Linked DNA regions of Notamacropus eugenii. The protein of the gene in region 1 purifies or fractionates together with the protein of each later gene. This does not show direct contact. Links are inferred from orthologs where the notes say so. Each region holds a gene or a part of one and is shown in the gene's direction. Other genes may lie near its edges.

What was found.
Region 2: the proteins of NUP214 (region 1) and NUP88 purify together in Homo sapiens (affinity purification with mass spectrometry; 6 studies listed by BioGRID and IntAct, counting the BioPlex papers as one, with this or other methods). This does not show direct contact. The link is inferred for Notamacropus eugenii from reciprocal best matches to the Homo sapiens genes NUP214 and NUP88.

Annotation. Positions count from the first base shown.
Region 1 is NC_092872.1:482,961,074-482,968,987, forward strand, and holds the start of NUP214 (nuclear pore complex protein Nup214), read left to right. Parts: upstream 1-4,887; 5' UTR 4,888-4,961; coding exon 4,962-5,066; intron 5,067-7,332; coding exon 7,333-7,528; intron 7,529-7,914. UniProt on the Homo sapiens protein: Part of the nuclear pore complex. Has a critical role in nucleocytoplasmic transport.
Region 2 is NC_092877.1:389,122,441-389,130,629, forward strand, and holds the start of NUP88 (nuclear pore complex protein Nup88), read left to right. Parts: upstream 1-4,982; 5' UTR 4,983-5,195; coding exon 5,196-5,513; intron 5,514-5,681; exon of another isoform or gene 5,682-5,883; intron 5,884-8,189. Other genes in the region: RPAIN (RPA-interacting protein), read right to left, coding at 1-11, 3,271-3,331, 3,443-3,595, 4,435-4,518. UniProt on the Homo sapiens protein: Component of nuclear pore complex.

The DNA of each region.
Region 1 (7,914 bases):
TATTTCTCACCTCCCAAATGGAGTCAATTTCACCGTTGTAAAATCTCCTATATGACCCCATCTCTCCTCTGATACTGCCACCACTCTAGTGCAGGCCTTCATCACCTCATACCTGGATTACTGTACTAGCCTGTTGGTGTTCTTCATGCCTCAAGTCTTTCCCCACTCCTACATTCGACCACTAAAGTGATTTTCTTAAAGTTCAGGTCCAGTCATGTAGATGAAGGTTTGAGAGATTCAAGGAATAAAGTACAGGAAAGGGTCATCTGGAATGAATTCACAGACTCAAATATTCTTTAAGTGAAGTTCAAAGGTTTATTGTAATGCTAATGTGGCAAATAGAGCTGCTTAAGGAACTTTGCAATTTAACAAGAATGATGCTAAAGCTTAGATAGGAAAAGTGGTGGATTATCTGGTAGATACACTAATTAGGTGATATCGTACAACCTTAGTCACCAGCATCTTTCACTCCTGGAAACCAGAGAAAGGAGTTTCTAAGGGGTGTATTTTTGGTCTGTTATGTCCGTAGCAAGATAACTTTGAGAGATGATGTCTATAGCTTGACCTCTGGATTGTATATGATAACTGGGAATCAATACATGAGAATTCTACTGGCACAAGGTAGTCCTGTTCACAGAAGGGAAATTCTACAGAGGTCAGCTTGTTCTTGGAACAGGGAGGGATAGTTTACCTCACAGGAGCACACTCATGAGTTATTTCTAGGCATAGTGTCCTTGGACTGGAGAGAAAACTGTCTGGGAAAGTGTTTTGAGACTAGGGAGAAATGTGATCTTGGAATTGGGGTCCATACACAAGCACCCCATAAATGTTACTTCCCTGCTCAATAAAATCCAGTGGCTTCCTATTACCTCTAGGAACAAACACAAAATGTTCTCTTTGGCAGAGTCCTTTGTAACCTAGCCCTCTCCTACCTTTCCAGTTTTCTTGCACCTTACTTCCAGACAGGTACTCTTTGATCCAGCGACACTGGTCTTCTAGCTGTTTCACAAATAAGACCCTTCATTTTTCAGTTCCGGGCATTTTTTCTGCCTCTTCCCCATGCCTGGAATGCTCTTCTTCTGCTCCAACTAATGACCTCTCCCTAGCTTCCTTTAAGTCCCAACTAAAAGTCCCATCTTTTACTGGAAGCCTTCCCTTTTAAATGTGCTTGTCTTCTATTAATTATTTCCTGTTTATCCTGTATATAGCTTGCTTTGTCTATATTTGTTTGCATGCTGTCTTGATTAGAAGGTAAGCTCCTTGTGGGCAGGGACTGTCTTTTATTTCTTGTGTCCTCAGTGCTTAGCAGAGTGCCTGGCACATAGTAGAAGTTTAATAAATATTGATTGATTGAGGGTGTAAGGTAGAAGAGACAGGCTGCCTCAAGGACAAAACCAGGAGCAAGTGAAAGTCGGAGTGAACTAGATCTTATGTTCCACAAGGAAAAACTTTCTAACAGAGCTATCCAAAAGTGCAATGGTCTGCCTTGAAAGGCATCCATCCCTGGACATCTTTGAGTGGGGACCACTCTAAAGGGAATTCTTGTTCTGGTATGCTCTAATGTACTTTGAGGTTCCATGTAAATATGACATTTTGGGATTCCAGGATATCTGAATGCAGGAAACCCTTCCAAGGTCTCTCAAATGATACCATGCTCTTAATATTGTAATAGTCTCCTGACTAGTAGGTTTGTCTTTTTCAAGACTGTATACCCTCCATAGTGCCCCTCTAGTTTCCAACCCCCCCCCAATTTTACATAATATATTAAGATGAATCTTCCTAATATATTCCTTTGGTGATGCCATTCTCCTCAAAAATCTTTAAGGATTTTTTTTACTGCCACAGAATAAATTGTAGTCACAGAATTTTAGAACTAGAGGGGCCGCTAAAAAGCATTTAGTCCAGGAGTTCTTACCCTTTTTTGTGTCATAGATCCCTTTGGCAATCTGGTGAAATCTATGTACCCTTTCTCAGATTAATACTTTTAAGTGCTAAAATAAAATATAAAGTATTACATAAAGGAAGCCAAAGGTTAATGGAAATATGTATTTTTTCCCCATTTAACTTCACAATCCATACCCCTCTCCCCATCTATCCATTGATCCCTTGGGTATCCACAGATCATAGGTTAAGAATTCTTGATTAAATAATCCAACTCTTTCATTTCTCAGGGGGAAAACCGAAGCCGAAGAAAATGAATTAACTTGACCATAGTCATATAGTTACCAGACAATTGTCTGATATTCAAAGTTCTCCACAGTCTAGATGTCATCATGTTTACTGTAACTCCAATCTGCACAAAGACAAAACTAGCCAATTCATTATCCTTCAACCTTGCTTGTACTTTATACTTTGTACACCCTTTGCCTACCTAGATGAGCTTCCTTTCCCCTTTTCTTCCTGCCCACTTCTGTGGAAACCTCAAATCAAATCTTCCCTAATCCCTCTTCCATATCCAATCCATCCCTTACTGCCAGACACCCTCCGTATCCAAAGATACGCTCATATCACACCACTGTTCAAAACCTTGCAAAGGTTGCTAGTTCCTAAATTCAAACTCAGCTTTACATTCAATGTCATCCACAAGCTAGCAACAGCATCTTTCCAGTCTTAGTTCTTATATCTACTTATACCTTAGTTCTTTTACCTACTCTACTGTCCAGTCAGAAGAGACTACTTGCCCCAATATATTTGGTGCAGTAGAAAAAGTGCTGGATTTAAAAGACCTGGGTTCTCATGTGATATTGGGAATGACAACCTTTTTCAAGCTGAGTATATTCCTCTGGAAAACCAAGAAGTTAGAATACATGACCTCTAAATGAGGCAACTAGTTGGTAAAGTAGGTAGAGTGCCAAGTCCAAAAGACTTATTTTTCTGAATTCAAGTCTAGACTCAAACACTTGTTAACTTTGTGACCTTGGGCAAGTCATTTAACCCTGTTTGCCTTAGTTTCCTCATTCGTAAAATGGGCTAGTGAAGGAAATGGCAAACCTCTAGTAGCTTTGTCAAGAAAACCCTCAAATTGGGTAACAAAGAATTAGGACACAACTGAAAAAATGACGAGAAGAACAACAAGTATCTGAACACGACCTATACTTTTTGATAGTGTAGATAAAGGATTTTGCAAATTTGAACTCTATAGAAACGTCAGGTGTTATCTCCAATTCCAAGTCTTTAAAGTCCAGTTCAGATTCCACTTCCTTCATAGCGCCTTCACTGAAGCCATCGACAACTGGACGCTTTGTAGCTCTTGAGCCTTAAGTTTGATTTGTCCTAATTTGCCTCTGTGTCATCTTCAGCTGTTAGACCTAAACTCAGAGAAGCTTATTTAAAACATGGTATTCCATTCCCCCACACCTCAGTTCTGCACAAGAAGACCCGGTCTGAATTAGACCGAATTCCCCAAACTTTCCCTTTTCTTATTGGTCTTAAAAACTCTTCGCGGTCTTCCTCCCGGCAGTTCTCCGCGTCCTGGTGGAGAGGCTGGAAGGCAGGCAGGGATTTTACTTCTTTCTCTAAAATCCAGGATACAAACCTGGCAGAGGGTGCGGCGACAAGCCCGCGCGCAGGGGTGTTGAATGAATGAATGAATGAATGCCATTCATTGCGGACCACGCGGCGGGAAGGACGTGAAACAGAGCCCCGCTACGCTGAGCTATATGCTACACACAGACATTTCCCCATCCGTGAAGAATTTTTTAAAAATAAATGATTTACTTTGTTAAATGTTTCCCAATTACATGTAAACTATTTTTAACATTCGTTTTAAAAAAAATTTGAGTTCGAAATTCTCTCCCTTCCTCCCGACATCCCCCACCCATTGAGAAGGCGAGCAATATGATAGCGATTATACATGGGAAGTCACATCAGTCAAATTAAAAGTTAAAATTTTGGAAATTAACTTCCGCGGTCCAGAAACTCCCTAAGATCCTAGACTGGAAGATGACTGCATGTTAGGAAGAAAGGCTAGGCAACAGCGAATCACGACTGATGGACTTCAGGCCACACCCCCTTCCTAGGGTAAACCAATGGAAAGAGGCGGCTGACAGTAAGCGCGAGCCTGACTGACCAATGGGAGGCTGCAGTTCACAGCGCGCTCGCGCCAGACGGGCCAATGGAAAGCAGCAGCTCACGACAGGCTCGAGTTGGATCGACCCCTTTCCCACCCTCCTAGAAGACTGTTTCTCACGGGTGTGACGTAGTTTTGATGCGCCGGAAATGGCAGCCGTCGGAGCCTGTCGCTGAGCTCAGCGAGGGAATTTTTCCTCGCTGTAGCTCCGGCTCTCCGGGGGCGGCGGCTCCTCGGGCTCCCGCTTGTAGGGAGTCTGTGCCATGGGAGACGAGATGGATGCGCTGATCCCCGAACGGGAGATGAAGGTCAGGTTCAATGAGACCTGGGCCGGGAGGGGCAGGAGGACCGGTACCACCGGGACAGGCCACGCCGCGCCAGGCCTGGCCGGACGTCACTGAGGCCCAGCGTTGCCTTGGAGAGAGAGCCTCCCGTCTCGAATTTCTCGAGGCGCTGGGTGCTGTAGTTTAGAGCTTACTGGGCACGAGAGAATGGGAACCCAGAGATTTGGGTTTCAGTTAGAGTCTAGGATGTTTCCCCGTAGGTTCGATACCTTTCCCTACCCCTGCATCTCGTCTTGAAGGGACCGTAGATTTAGAGCTAGAAGGGACCCGCGGCACAGATTATCTTGTCCGGCCCGCACCCCACACCCACTTTACAGATGAGGAAACCGAGGCCCACAAGTTAAATCATTTGCTTACCGTCATAAGTGGTAGCGCCCTACATTTTCTGACTCCAGGTCCGGTCACTGCCCTTTTTTATGGATCATTGCAACGTCTACAGCCCAGTGCTTTCCCACCTCACAGGGAAAAACTCAGCATCTGCATCTTTCTTACGTAGCTGTTTCCCCAGAACAGAAAGCTAGATGAGAAAGATATAAAGGATCTTCAAAATGCGACGTCTTAGATTTCCGAAAGCCAAGAAGATGATTAGCATATATTCGGGGCATAAATCCAGACAACCTCCTCTTCCCAAATATGTAGAAAATCAAAGGGAAGTAAGTGAAATTATTCTTTGGCCCCATTTTACATATGTTTGGAGAGAAAGGGACACAAGGTGGAAATGATTTGTGGAAGAATTCCAGCATCCTGGGAAAACACAGAAATGGCTCTGGAGGGCACCGTCTTCTTCAGATGAACCTGGTTGAACAAACCATCACTATCTATCTTAGATGCTGTTGTGGAAGGGCTCCAAATCTCAAGTTGTCTTATGTGAATAAGAATAATGGACTAGTCTTACTCTTCTCGATGCCTCAGTTTCTTCATCTGTAAAATGGAGGAAACTGGATTAAGTTGTTTTGGAAGTTTTTTCCAGTACTGATATTCTGTAGTTCCTGGAATTTGTCTCTTAGGCTACATATATCTGAAGGGAATGTTGCAGGGACAGTTAGATTGACAGGTTGTTGTGAAGGGAAGTGTACCATACTGAGTATTACAAAACCAAAGTCCTAGTCACTGATTTGCTACTAATTTGGTATGAATTGTTGTGATGGGAAGTATTTCTACACTAGGTATCAGAAACCATGAGTTCTAATTCATTGATTTACTACTAAATCATAGTGTGATTCTGGGACACTCCCTTCCTCTGTCTGGGCTTTATTTTCATTATGTTTAAAATTAGGGGATAGCACTAGGTTGTTGCTAAGGTCTTTTGCATTCTGTGGTTTCTGGCTCAGTAGTCCTTGATGGATTTAGCCATTGAAGCAATATTGACTCTGATCTCTTGGACAAAGTTGGGTCAACGTTGGGTTGAGAAATATGCTGAATTGAGAGTGAAGAGATCTGGATTCTGCTTCCATTAGGTTGCATGCTTCTTGAGGGCTGAGAATATCTTTTGCTTCTCTTTGTATCTCCAGTGCTTAGTAGAGTGCCTAGCACATAGTAGTCTCTTAATGAATATTAGTTGACTGACTTCTAGATGTTTGACTCATTGTACAACCTTGGGTCACTTCCCCCTTAGAGACTCAGTTTTCCCATCTGTAAAAAACACTAGATAGTCTCTAAGGTCCCTCTCTCAACTCAAGAATACTATGGATAGTGATCCTTAAGGCTAACGTACAGATTTACTTAAGGAGCCTGTTTACATCATTGGTTCATCTGTCATCCAGATGTTGGGTGACTGTGATCTTAGAGGCCCAAAAATAATCCAGATTGTACTTACAGAAAACTTTGTTGTGGGTCTGGGCTTTTTTGGAAGGGATCACAGTAGTACACTGGACCAGTGAAAATGCCCATGAGAACTCTCATAATCCTTTTTGAGTTTGTAAATGCTATTTCAGAGGCTACAGTTCTTTAAGTATGATCATATAGGTATTATGATCCCCATTTGACAGATTTAGAAACTGAGTCAGAAAGTGACTTGCCTGTGGTCACATATCTTTTAAGTGTCAGTGATGGGGTTTTAAATCTATGTCCTCCTGATTCTAATTAAGTTCATCTTCCACTGTCTGCAAAGCAGAAAACATTCTCCCCTTGTATAAAACCACTCACAGAAGTACCTTTTCTGTTCAAGATCCTTAGCTAGATGTTGAGAATACGGAGATGCAGAATGACATAGGCTTGGCCTGCAAGAAGTTTACATGTACATATATAAGTAGAATTCAAGGTAGACAGAGATGGGGCAAAAGATATTTTGATGTGCTGAAATTTCATTGTGAAAATTTCTTGAAATGTCACATAGAATTAAGTAATCTTTTTCTTGTTGGTCAGTAATTTTTGAGTACTTGTTATGTACATAGATTTTGTGTCTTGTGGGACTATAGTAATAAGTCACATTTCTATAATCTTTTGGGGTCACAAAGTATTTTCTTCACAACATCTCCATAAGGGAGCACAAGTTTTATTGAAAATGAAGAAACTAAGGCTCAGAGGAAAAGTAACTTTCTAATAGTTTCATAGCTACTAAGTGTCAGAGCTGGAATCATTCAGTTTTCTTTATGTCAAGTCTTCAATTCATTCCACTATACCATGGGGAGAGAAATGGAAGGGACTGTCCTTATTCAGAAGGAATTTACATTGCTCTCAGTGGAGAGGTAGAATATATACTTATGTATAATTAGAGAGTAAGACTTTATATGTAAGTATATAACAGTGAGTGAGTAAGAGAAAACTAGGGTGAGCTGAATTTGTCAGGGAAGGAGTCAAGGAAGGAATGGGAGTATTAAGTCAAGATTTTCTTTGTAACTCTCTTTGACCCAGGTAAGCAATACCTCTTATCATCATTTAAACTACTGAGTTACTCTCTGTTTTTATTCTTTATGACAGGATTTTCAGTTTAGAGCGCTGAAGAAGGTTCGAGTCTTTGAAGCCCCTGAAGAGCTGTCCAAAGATCGCTGCAGTATGCTTACTGTGTCTAATAAGTATGGTCTAGTGTTCGCTGCCGGAGCCACTGGGTTTCGGGTTTTTCCTACCAAAAATCTTCTTATTCAGAATCGGCCTGGGGAGGATCCCAATAGAATTGGTTAGTTACAGTCCAGCAAACTTTTATTATTAAACTCCTACTGTGTGTGTGAAGAGCTTTTTGCAAGTTATTGATCTATGTAAGATAGAAAAGAGAGGAATGTAGTGAAATACTAGTGAAGTAGTCTTTTTCTCAAAGAAAATCTCTGACATGGTCACTGAAGTCGTGATTTTAAGAGTGTTACTAAGTTGACCAAAGGTTCCCAGGTAAGTACCAAAGCTATTCCTGAGGTGTTGGAGATAATCCATGTGGGTCTTCCTTTTGAGGTATCTGGTCATCCCTTCAAGCTCAAAGTAGGGAAAAGTCTACCTTATTTTATTTTTTGTTGGGCTTATGACCTAATTGTGGAAGGAGTTTATTGTATCACATTTTAGTTGGCTTAACAG
Region 2 (8,189 bases), on another chromosome or scaffold:
GAAGGCTTGTTCTGGAAGGAAAAGGAAAGCTACTGCACTCAGGGTGAAACCAATATTCTCTTCTCCTGGCACAGAAAAATGGTAGTGAGGAAACCTCCAAGTGTCCAGGGATAGGAGGAACACAATCAGCTGTGTGGGCTATGGAAAAGAGGGATGAGACTCAATGCTGGTGGGGCTGTGGAAAGTCAGGCCCATTCACATTTGGCAGTGCTTAGGATGCTTGGACCTAGTAACTGCTTGGGTGGGAAATGCCTGGAGGATCCTCTAAAGCTCATTTAGATGTTTCCAGAGCAACACATGGGACTGCAAAGCAGCCTAAATGCCCAATGAGAGGGTGGTGGTTGCATAAAATGTGCTTCATTCACATCACAGACTGCCATAATGTAAGAGAGCTACAAGCAGGAGGAACATAATGTAATCTGGAAAAATTTCTAAAGCGGGGGAAACAAAACACACACTAACAAAGGCCATTTAAAAGGAAAGGTGAATGAATGAAAAGAAAGGATCCTGAGAGGGAGGGACCGAGACTTGAAAGGGTTTTGTAGACTGAAATTCAGAAAAACAACACATTCAACGTGCTCAATATTAAATCAATTTTTGCTTTTTCAGTTTTCTGACAGGCACTGAAGCCACGCAGCTCTTAGTGTGGGACCCCAGTTCTACTCCTAGGTCAAAGAAGACAGTAATGAAATCTTTACTGGTCTGAAAAGCTAAAAGCAGTATTTTTTCTGACCAGCCTTATAGAAAATCTGACATTTCTCTGAGTTTTTAATAAGAGAATGACCATTTCCATGGTAAAGAACAGTGACCAATCACAAATTTATTAAGCACTTACTAGATACCAGGCCCTGTGCTAGGCAACAAAACAAAGTCCTCAAGGAGCTGGCCTCTAACAGACAATAAACATGCAGCAAGTGTCTTCCTTGGATGGAAAAGTTTTAAAAAACTCCTCAGTAAATCTGTTTTTATATAATAATTTCACATCCTTATGTGGATATCAATTCAGACACAGCTTGTATGATCACCGACTGCAAACGAACCACAAAGTGGAAGGTAAGAAAGGCTCCTGACCCAATGAGTAAGGCCAGGTCAGAAGAGGCCAGGAACCTTGGCCAGCAAACACTTTCCTGCCAGACAGTCTAGTATGTATGATGTTCCAGAGTTCAAACTCTTAGAAAACAGTCCAACTTCATGAAATTGCTGCAGGGAAAGGAGCCTGCCAAGAGGTTGGGGTAAGACCCAGGAAAACTGTCTCATCCTGTGAGCTTTTGGGGGTGAAACGGGGAGGATGACAATAACTAGAGACGGAACTACAGAAGCTGTTTGAACAGTGAGGAAGTCAGGAGGCAGCAATGGCATTTGGGAGAATGCCTGACACCAAAAGGATAAAAGAGAAGCCCATTTCTGGTTTACATGAGAATTCTAAAGGAATGAGTAAGATCATGGCCCATCCTGAGAGGCGAGTCAAGCCACGTATCAGTGCAGTGGAGAGGTTCCTTTGGCATCTCACCCACACTGACTACCTTGGGGAGGAAAAGATCATGGCAAGTCTCTTCCCATTCTATATTCCAGACTAGCTGGACCATTTGCACTGGTGGGAGGGGTCATTTCCTGTAGCCGTGACATCAGCTTCAGTCAAAAACAAATGACCAAATTGTTGCCAAAGACGACCAAGCCGACACCAGAACATGGAAGAAAGAATAATGGAACCCCCACCCCCAATAATGAGATGCAAAAATGGGGAGGTGGACACTCCAAAGATGCTTGTCACCATCCAGCTCAAAGTCCATGTCAAGGAGGGACAGCTTCCCTGGGGACAAGGGACACTCCTGTTTGCTGTGGGGGTTGCATGAAGCCTCATGACACTACAGGGCTTTCTGGAAGAGATCTGGAATCGCCTGAAGGAGTTTTGATTTTCCATCCACACAAGGAACATCAAATGGATGATGAAAGCCTATGGTCCAGATTTCCACCTGCATTTGAATGGACATCCTACAGAGACAGACCATCATATGTGTTTCTGGGACCCAGAACAAGGGGACTGTGAGCTGGGCAGGGTTATAAAGCAGGCGAGATAACACTAAGACAGTGCCAACCTCCTTTACTGACTGGAGCTTTTCCTACAGCAAAGACCCATACAAATATTTTACTTGTGTTGCTGCCCCCAGGGCAAGAATGAAAAATGAGCATCACGCAGAGGGGAAAAGGATCAGGCTAAAACATCACAAGGAACCCTGAAGAACAAGGGTCAAGCAGAGGATCACAGGAGCTTAGCGAGAAGTGGGACAACAAGATGGCCAGTGCACCTGGCGCCCAGGCCTCTGTGTGGGAGGACACAGAGGAGTCAAGCAGCCATGAGGGCAATGCAACCCCACTGTGGCCCCAAGCCAGCCTGGACATACAGAGGGGCATCAGACATCTGATGAAAATACATACTTGTACCAGGCCCTACGAGTGTAAAGTGTATAAAGAGAGAACAACCATCCTCCTCTCAAAACCCATGAGGGCATGTATGTGTGTGTGTGTGTGTGTGTGTGTGTACGTGTGTGTACGTGTGTGTACGTACACACTGACCCATACCCACCCCTTCACTCCACCCCCACACACTCGTACACACCCCCTGTACACACGTTCACAGACACAGAACAGGACGATTCCAATAAATACAAGCCAGTTAGGAAGAGAGGCAGAGTGTCAGGGAGGGGCACGTAGTTGGCCTGTGGGCTTCGGAGGGAAGTCTAAAAGACCTGGAACCAGCGAGGGGAACAATGAGTGAGCATAACACTGGCCATGCATGGGCCCACATTAGATAGATCCTCACCCAACCCTGCAAGGTAGGGACTACAGCTACTATGAGTGGGGCAGGATTAGAACTGAAGTCTCCCTGGCTCTAGTTCCAGTGCTCTGCTACTGTGAAAAAGCCAGGGCGGGCTCCTCCAAGTGGGAGAGGGGTGGAGCATCTGCTCTGACCTCAGAGGCCAAGGCTTCATGAAGATGGAGCACACTGGGGTGGGGGCGGATTCTAGCCCCAGACTGGGTCTCCTCCTCTGTGGTCCCCATTTACTGCTCTCCCACAGGCCACCCATGGAGCAGATCCTCCAGCATTCCCCCCAGCTCAGAGAGGGGAGGGATCTGCCCAAGACTGCCCAGTCGGATCCAGGCCCCTGATGCCTAGGCTAGTGAATCTTTCTCAGAGGACAAGCACAAAAGAACAGAGACATGGGGGAGCTGCCAGCACACAGGCCTGCCCCCAGGGACACTCCAGGTTACCTTGACGCATCAGCTCCTGCTGGATTTCCCCCAGGACAGCCAGTTCTTCAGGGTCTTCCACCTACAAGGGAGAAGTGTGTGGGTTCCTGTTCCTTTGACCCTTGGAGGGAGCAGAGGAGGGAGGGAACAGCCCTTTCACAGCACCCGGAGGATGGGAGATGGGCAAACAGACCTGTCCAAACGTCCTGCTGTGCCGCGCAGACGGCAAGGCCAGCCACTCGGCCTCCATCACCTCCCGGGCCAGCAGGCCTCGGGGAGCTTCTCCCACTCGGCGGTACTTGTCCAGGAGGTGGGCTCGGCTGTCCTTCATTCTCTGGATGCATCGCTGGGAAGAGAGGGATAAGTGAGCGTAGCACACAACTGGCCCAACCCAAAGCAGGCCGGATGTCCCAGGCCCGCTGCTGCCAGGGTCAAGCTGCGGGGCAGCCACGGAAAGGGGAGGAGCGGAGGATGGCCTCACCCATGAGGGGCACAAAAGGCCGTCACCATCCAGCACTGCCGACCTCCTTCGTGAAATAACGAAGAGTGAGACGGGAAGGCACGGGAAGCGGCGACACCGGGGCTTCGGAGGCCGCAGAGAAAAGAAGGGAGAGTCTTCGGGAATGAATCTGGAGTGGAAGGGGAAGGAAATGGGGGGAAGGCAGCAGGGGAACTTCCTGGAAGAGCTCTTTGGGGCTGCGGTGCCTGAGAGGGCGGCGAGGGCAGGGCTGCGAGGGCAGGGCGGCCTCGGGCTCCTTCTGCCGCGCCCGGTGGCACCGCCAGGGCAGTCCTCAAAGGGAAAACCGCTTCTGTCCAAGGGACCGGGAAACGTGCTGAGGCAGCCCCGTGATAACGGGGGACACTGAGGGCCCGGGGGCCTTGCCGCCGGGCATCCGCGTCTGCCCCAAGCTCGTGGCTGCGGGCCCTGCCCCCAAGCAGCACGCGCAGCCAGCGCCGCGGGGCATCGCCCGTCCGCAAGGGGCCCAGCTTGGGGCCGCCCGGGGCTCACACCCAAGCACAGCTCCCCCAGCAAAGCCCGAGCTTAGCAGGAGCGGGAGGCGGGGCCAGGAGAGGGGGCGGGGCGGGGCGGGGCCTAGAGCCAGGGCAGAGGCACCGTCGGCCCCAGGAGGGGTGCCCGCTGGGTATGATGGGAGGGGCGATGACCCGGACCTGGGCCGCACTCACCTGCCGGTACATTTCCTTCCAAGGCGGGCCCCCAGGGCGCTTGTGAAGCGCGCGCCGTCCCTGCCCCGCCGCTGCCTCCTCCATGATGCCCGATGCCCCAGCGAGGGGGGCTTCCGAGCGAGCCCGCAGGGCGGCCAGGGCCGCTGCTTCCGCCTCAACGTGCCCCTTCACCCACCGCACTGTACGCTGGGAACGGTAGTCCGATCACGGACTGCGCGTGCCTGCGTGCGTCCGGCGCATGTTGGGAAAGGTAGTCTGTGACCTTCTGGTCCTTTTAGGCCCCTCCCCCCGGACCCCCGCCCAGACCGACACCGAGGCCCAGGGCGCGAAGGTTTCCTTCCTCAGCAGGGCTCTGCCTGTCTTGGCCCCACCAGCCCCCAAAAGGAACATCACGAGGACCCGACGAGAATGCTCTGGGGTCCTTGGCAGACTGCAAGCTCTCGGCAAGCTTTGCCCACCCGGGCTTCAGCGTGCCGATCGGTCTAAACCACATTGAGCCACCTGGATACAGTGGCAACACTGAGATGGGAACGGAGGGGACTAGCCCCAGGGACCACGCCCTTCATCGTGACGCCAGCAGAGCAGAGTTCACAGCCGCGGGTTTGGATTGGACAGAAGAGCGGAGGTCACTGATTGGTCGGTGAGGAGGGAGCGCCGATTGGACGGGCACGCGATCGGGCGTTCACGGGCTGGAGCAGAGACTGGCGGGCGTTGATTGGACAGCAGAGGGGGGTGGGACCAGGCGGGCAGCGCGGAGAAAGATGGCGACTGCCGAGGAGGCCGGCGGCGATGGAGAGCAGTGGCGGCTGTGGCTGCCTCAACACGTTGTGTTCGTGCGGCTGCGGGAGGGCCTACGGGCCCTGAGCCCTCCTGCGCCGGGCGCTGAGCAGCCAAGCACGCCCAGCCTCACCCGAAACCTTCTCTTCGGGCTCGGCGCCGAGCTCTTCCTATGGGACGGGGCGGCCGGCGCTTTCTTGGCAGTGCGCCTGCGCGGCCCAGGCCCCGCCCCCAGCGACGGAAGCGGGAGCGGCGGAGGCGGTGGTGGCGGCGGTGAGGGCCCCGCCCTGAGCCGCTATCAGGTACTGCGCCTGCGCGGGGCGTGCCAGACGGGGCTGGTTGCTAGGCACTAGGGAGAACGGGCGTGCCGGGGCTGGGAGGGAGATGACGCTTGCTAGCAGCTGGCTGCCTTTTCATTGCGCGACTCCTTGACGCCACGTGGAGTTTTCTTGGCAAAGCCGCTCACTCGGTGCTTTGCCTTTTCCTTCTCCTGTTCATTTTACAGATGAGGAAACAATTAAGTGACTTGCCCAGCGTCACTCGGCCTTAAATGTCTGAGGTCTGATTTGAACTCGGCTCTTCCTGAGGCAAATAAAACTTGATGCCCAGGAAAGCACCCTCAGGGCCGTGGTCTGCGTGCCAGGCCTGCCAGCACCACGATGGACGTTGGTGGTAAGATCCGGAGGCGTCTTAGAGGAGGCGTCTGGACGGAGTGGTTGGGCTCCTGGGTGGCAGGGCCCAGCCCAGTGTGCAGCTCTGACCGTCAGGGTTGGGGGGCCGCTCCTTGGGCAGACTCGGACCCGGTCTTGTGGACGGCAGCCCCGTCTCTGCTGCGTCACTGCCCTTAGACCCTTCTGTAGCTCACACCTGGCAGGTTGGCGGAGATGACTAGGAGGAGAATGACAGGAGCTGGCGGGGATGTGGAGAAGCAGGGGCACTAGTGCGTTGTTGATGGAGCTGTGAGGCGATGCAGCTGTTGTGGTGAACAGTGTAGAAGTGTGCCCCAAGGGCTCATGAAACTGCATACGGAGCACAGGCGTGGAGTGCAGCCCAGCGTGGGGACAGGCGTGGAGCGGAGCGCAGCCCAGCGTGGGGACGGGCGTGGAGCGGAGCGCAGCCCAGCGTGGGGACGGGCGTGGAGCGGGAGCGCAGCCCAGCGTGGGGACGGGCGTGGAGCGGGAGCGCAGCCCAGCGTGGGGACGGGCGTGGAGCGGAGCGCAGCCCAGCGTGGGGACGGGCGTGGAGCGGAGCGCAGCCCAGCGTGGGGACGGGCGTGGAGCGGAGTGCAGCCCAGCGTGGGGACGGGCGTGGAGTGGAGCGCAGCCCAGCACAGGCGTGGAGGGCAGCCCAGCGTGGGGACAGGCGTGGAGGGCAGCCCAGCGTGGGGATGGGCGTGGAGCGGAGCGCAGCCCAGCATGGGGATGGGCGTGGAGCGGAGCGCAGCCCAGCACAGGCATGGAGAGCAGCCCAGTGTGGGGACAGGTGTGGAGGGCAGCCCAGCATGGGGACGGGCGTGGAGCGGAGCGCAGCCCAGCACAGGCATGGAGGGCAGCCCAGCATGGGGACAGTTAGGGAGTGGAGTGCAGCCCAGCTCAGGCGTGGAGCGCAGCCCAGCGTGGGGACGGGCGTGGAGCGAGAGCGCAGCCCAGCGTGGGGACGGGCGTGGACCGGAGGGCAGCCCAGCGTGGGGACAGGCGTGGAGCAGAGCGGAGCGCAGCCCAGAAGAGGCGTGGAGGGCAGCCCAGCATGGGGACAGGCGTGGAGCGGAGCGCAGCCCAGCATGGGGACGGGCGTGGAGCGGAGCGCAGCCCAGCACAGGCATGGAGGGCAGCCCAGCATGGGGACAGTTAGGGAGTGGAGTGCAGCCCAGCTCAGGCGTGGAGCGCAGCCCAGCATGGGGACGGGCGTGGAGCGAGAGCGCAGCCCAGCGTGGGGACGGGCGTGGACCGGAGGGCAGCCCAGCGTGGGGACAGGCGTGGAGCAGAGCGGAGCGCAGCCCAGAAGAGGCGTGGAGGGCAGCCCAGCATGGGGACAGGCGTGGAGCGGAGCGCAGCCCAGTGTGGGGACGGGCGTGGAACGGAGCACAGCCCAGCGTGGGGACAGGCGTGGAGGGCAGCCCAGCATGGGGACAGGCGTGGAGCGGAGCGCAGCCCAGCATGGGGATGGGCGTGGAGTGGAGTGCAGCCCAGCATGGGGACAGGCGTGGAGGGCAGCCCAGCCTGGGGACGGGTGTGGAGCGGAGCGCAGCCCAGCACAGGTGTGGAGGGCAGCCCAGCCTGGGGACGGGTGTGCTGTGACAGGGACAGGACTGGAGCGGGCTTCAAGGCGCCACACCACTGGCAGCAGCTGTGGGTTCCGGATTCCTTAACTCACAACCACCAAAGGAAGCTTCAAAGGTCAGTGAGAAAGCTCTTTTACTTGGGTGAGAAGGGAATGCAGCGGTCTAGCCCCAGGCCCCAGGCAGCAGCAGCTTCCATTGTTGGAGCCCTGGCCTGAAGCCCCTGGGGGAATTGAGTAGCAGATCTGCATCTCAGCCCTAAGTGACTGCCCTGGGGTGAGGAGGAGTCTTGGCAGTGGAGCTGGTGGAGGCACTGGAGAGGGAATCCTGCTCATAGACCAGAGCACAAGTCAGGAGAGGAATAAACTCTCCCTTGATTGTGCCACCTTGGAGGAACTGAGAACTCACAGGTTCCCAGAGTATACCCTCCCCTTGACAAGGAACTCAAAAGTCAAGTAACTGACTGGAAAAATGCCCAGAAAAAGGGAAAAAGAATAAGACAACAGAAGGTTACTTTCTTGGCGAGCAGGTATTTTCTTTCATCCTTTCGGATGAGGAAGAACAGTGCGTACCATCAAAGGAAGACCTAAAAGTCAAGGCTTCTATATCCAAAACCTCCAAAATGAATATGCAGTGGTCTTACACCCTGGAAGAGCTCAAAAAGGATTTTGAAAATCAAGTAAGAGAAGTGGAGGAAAAC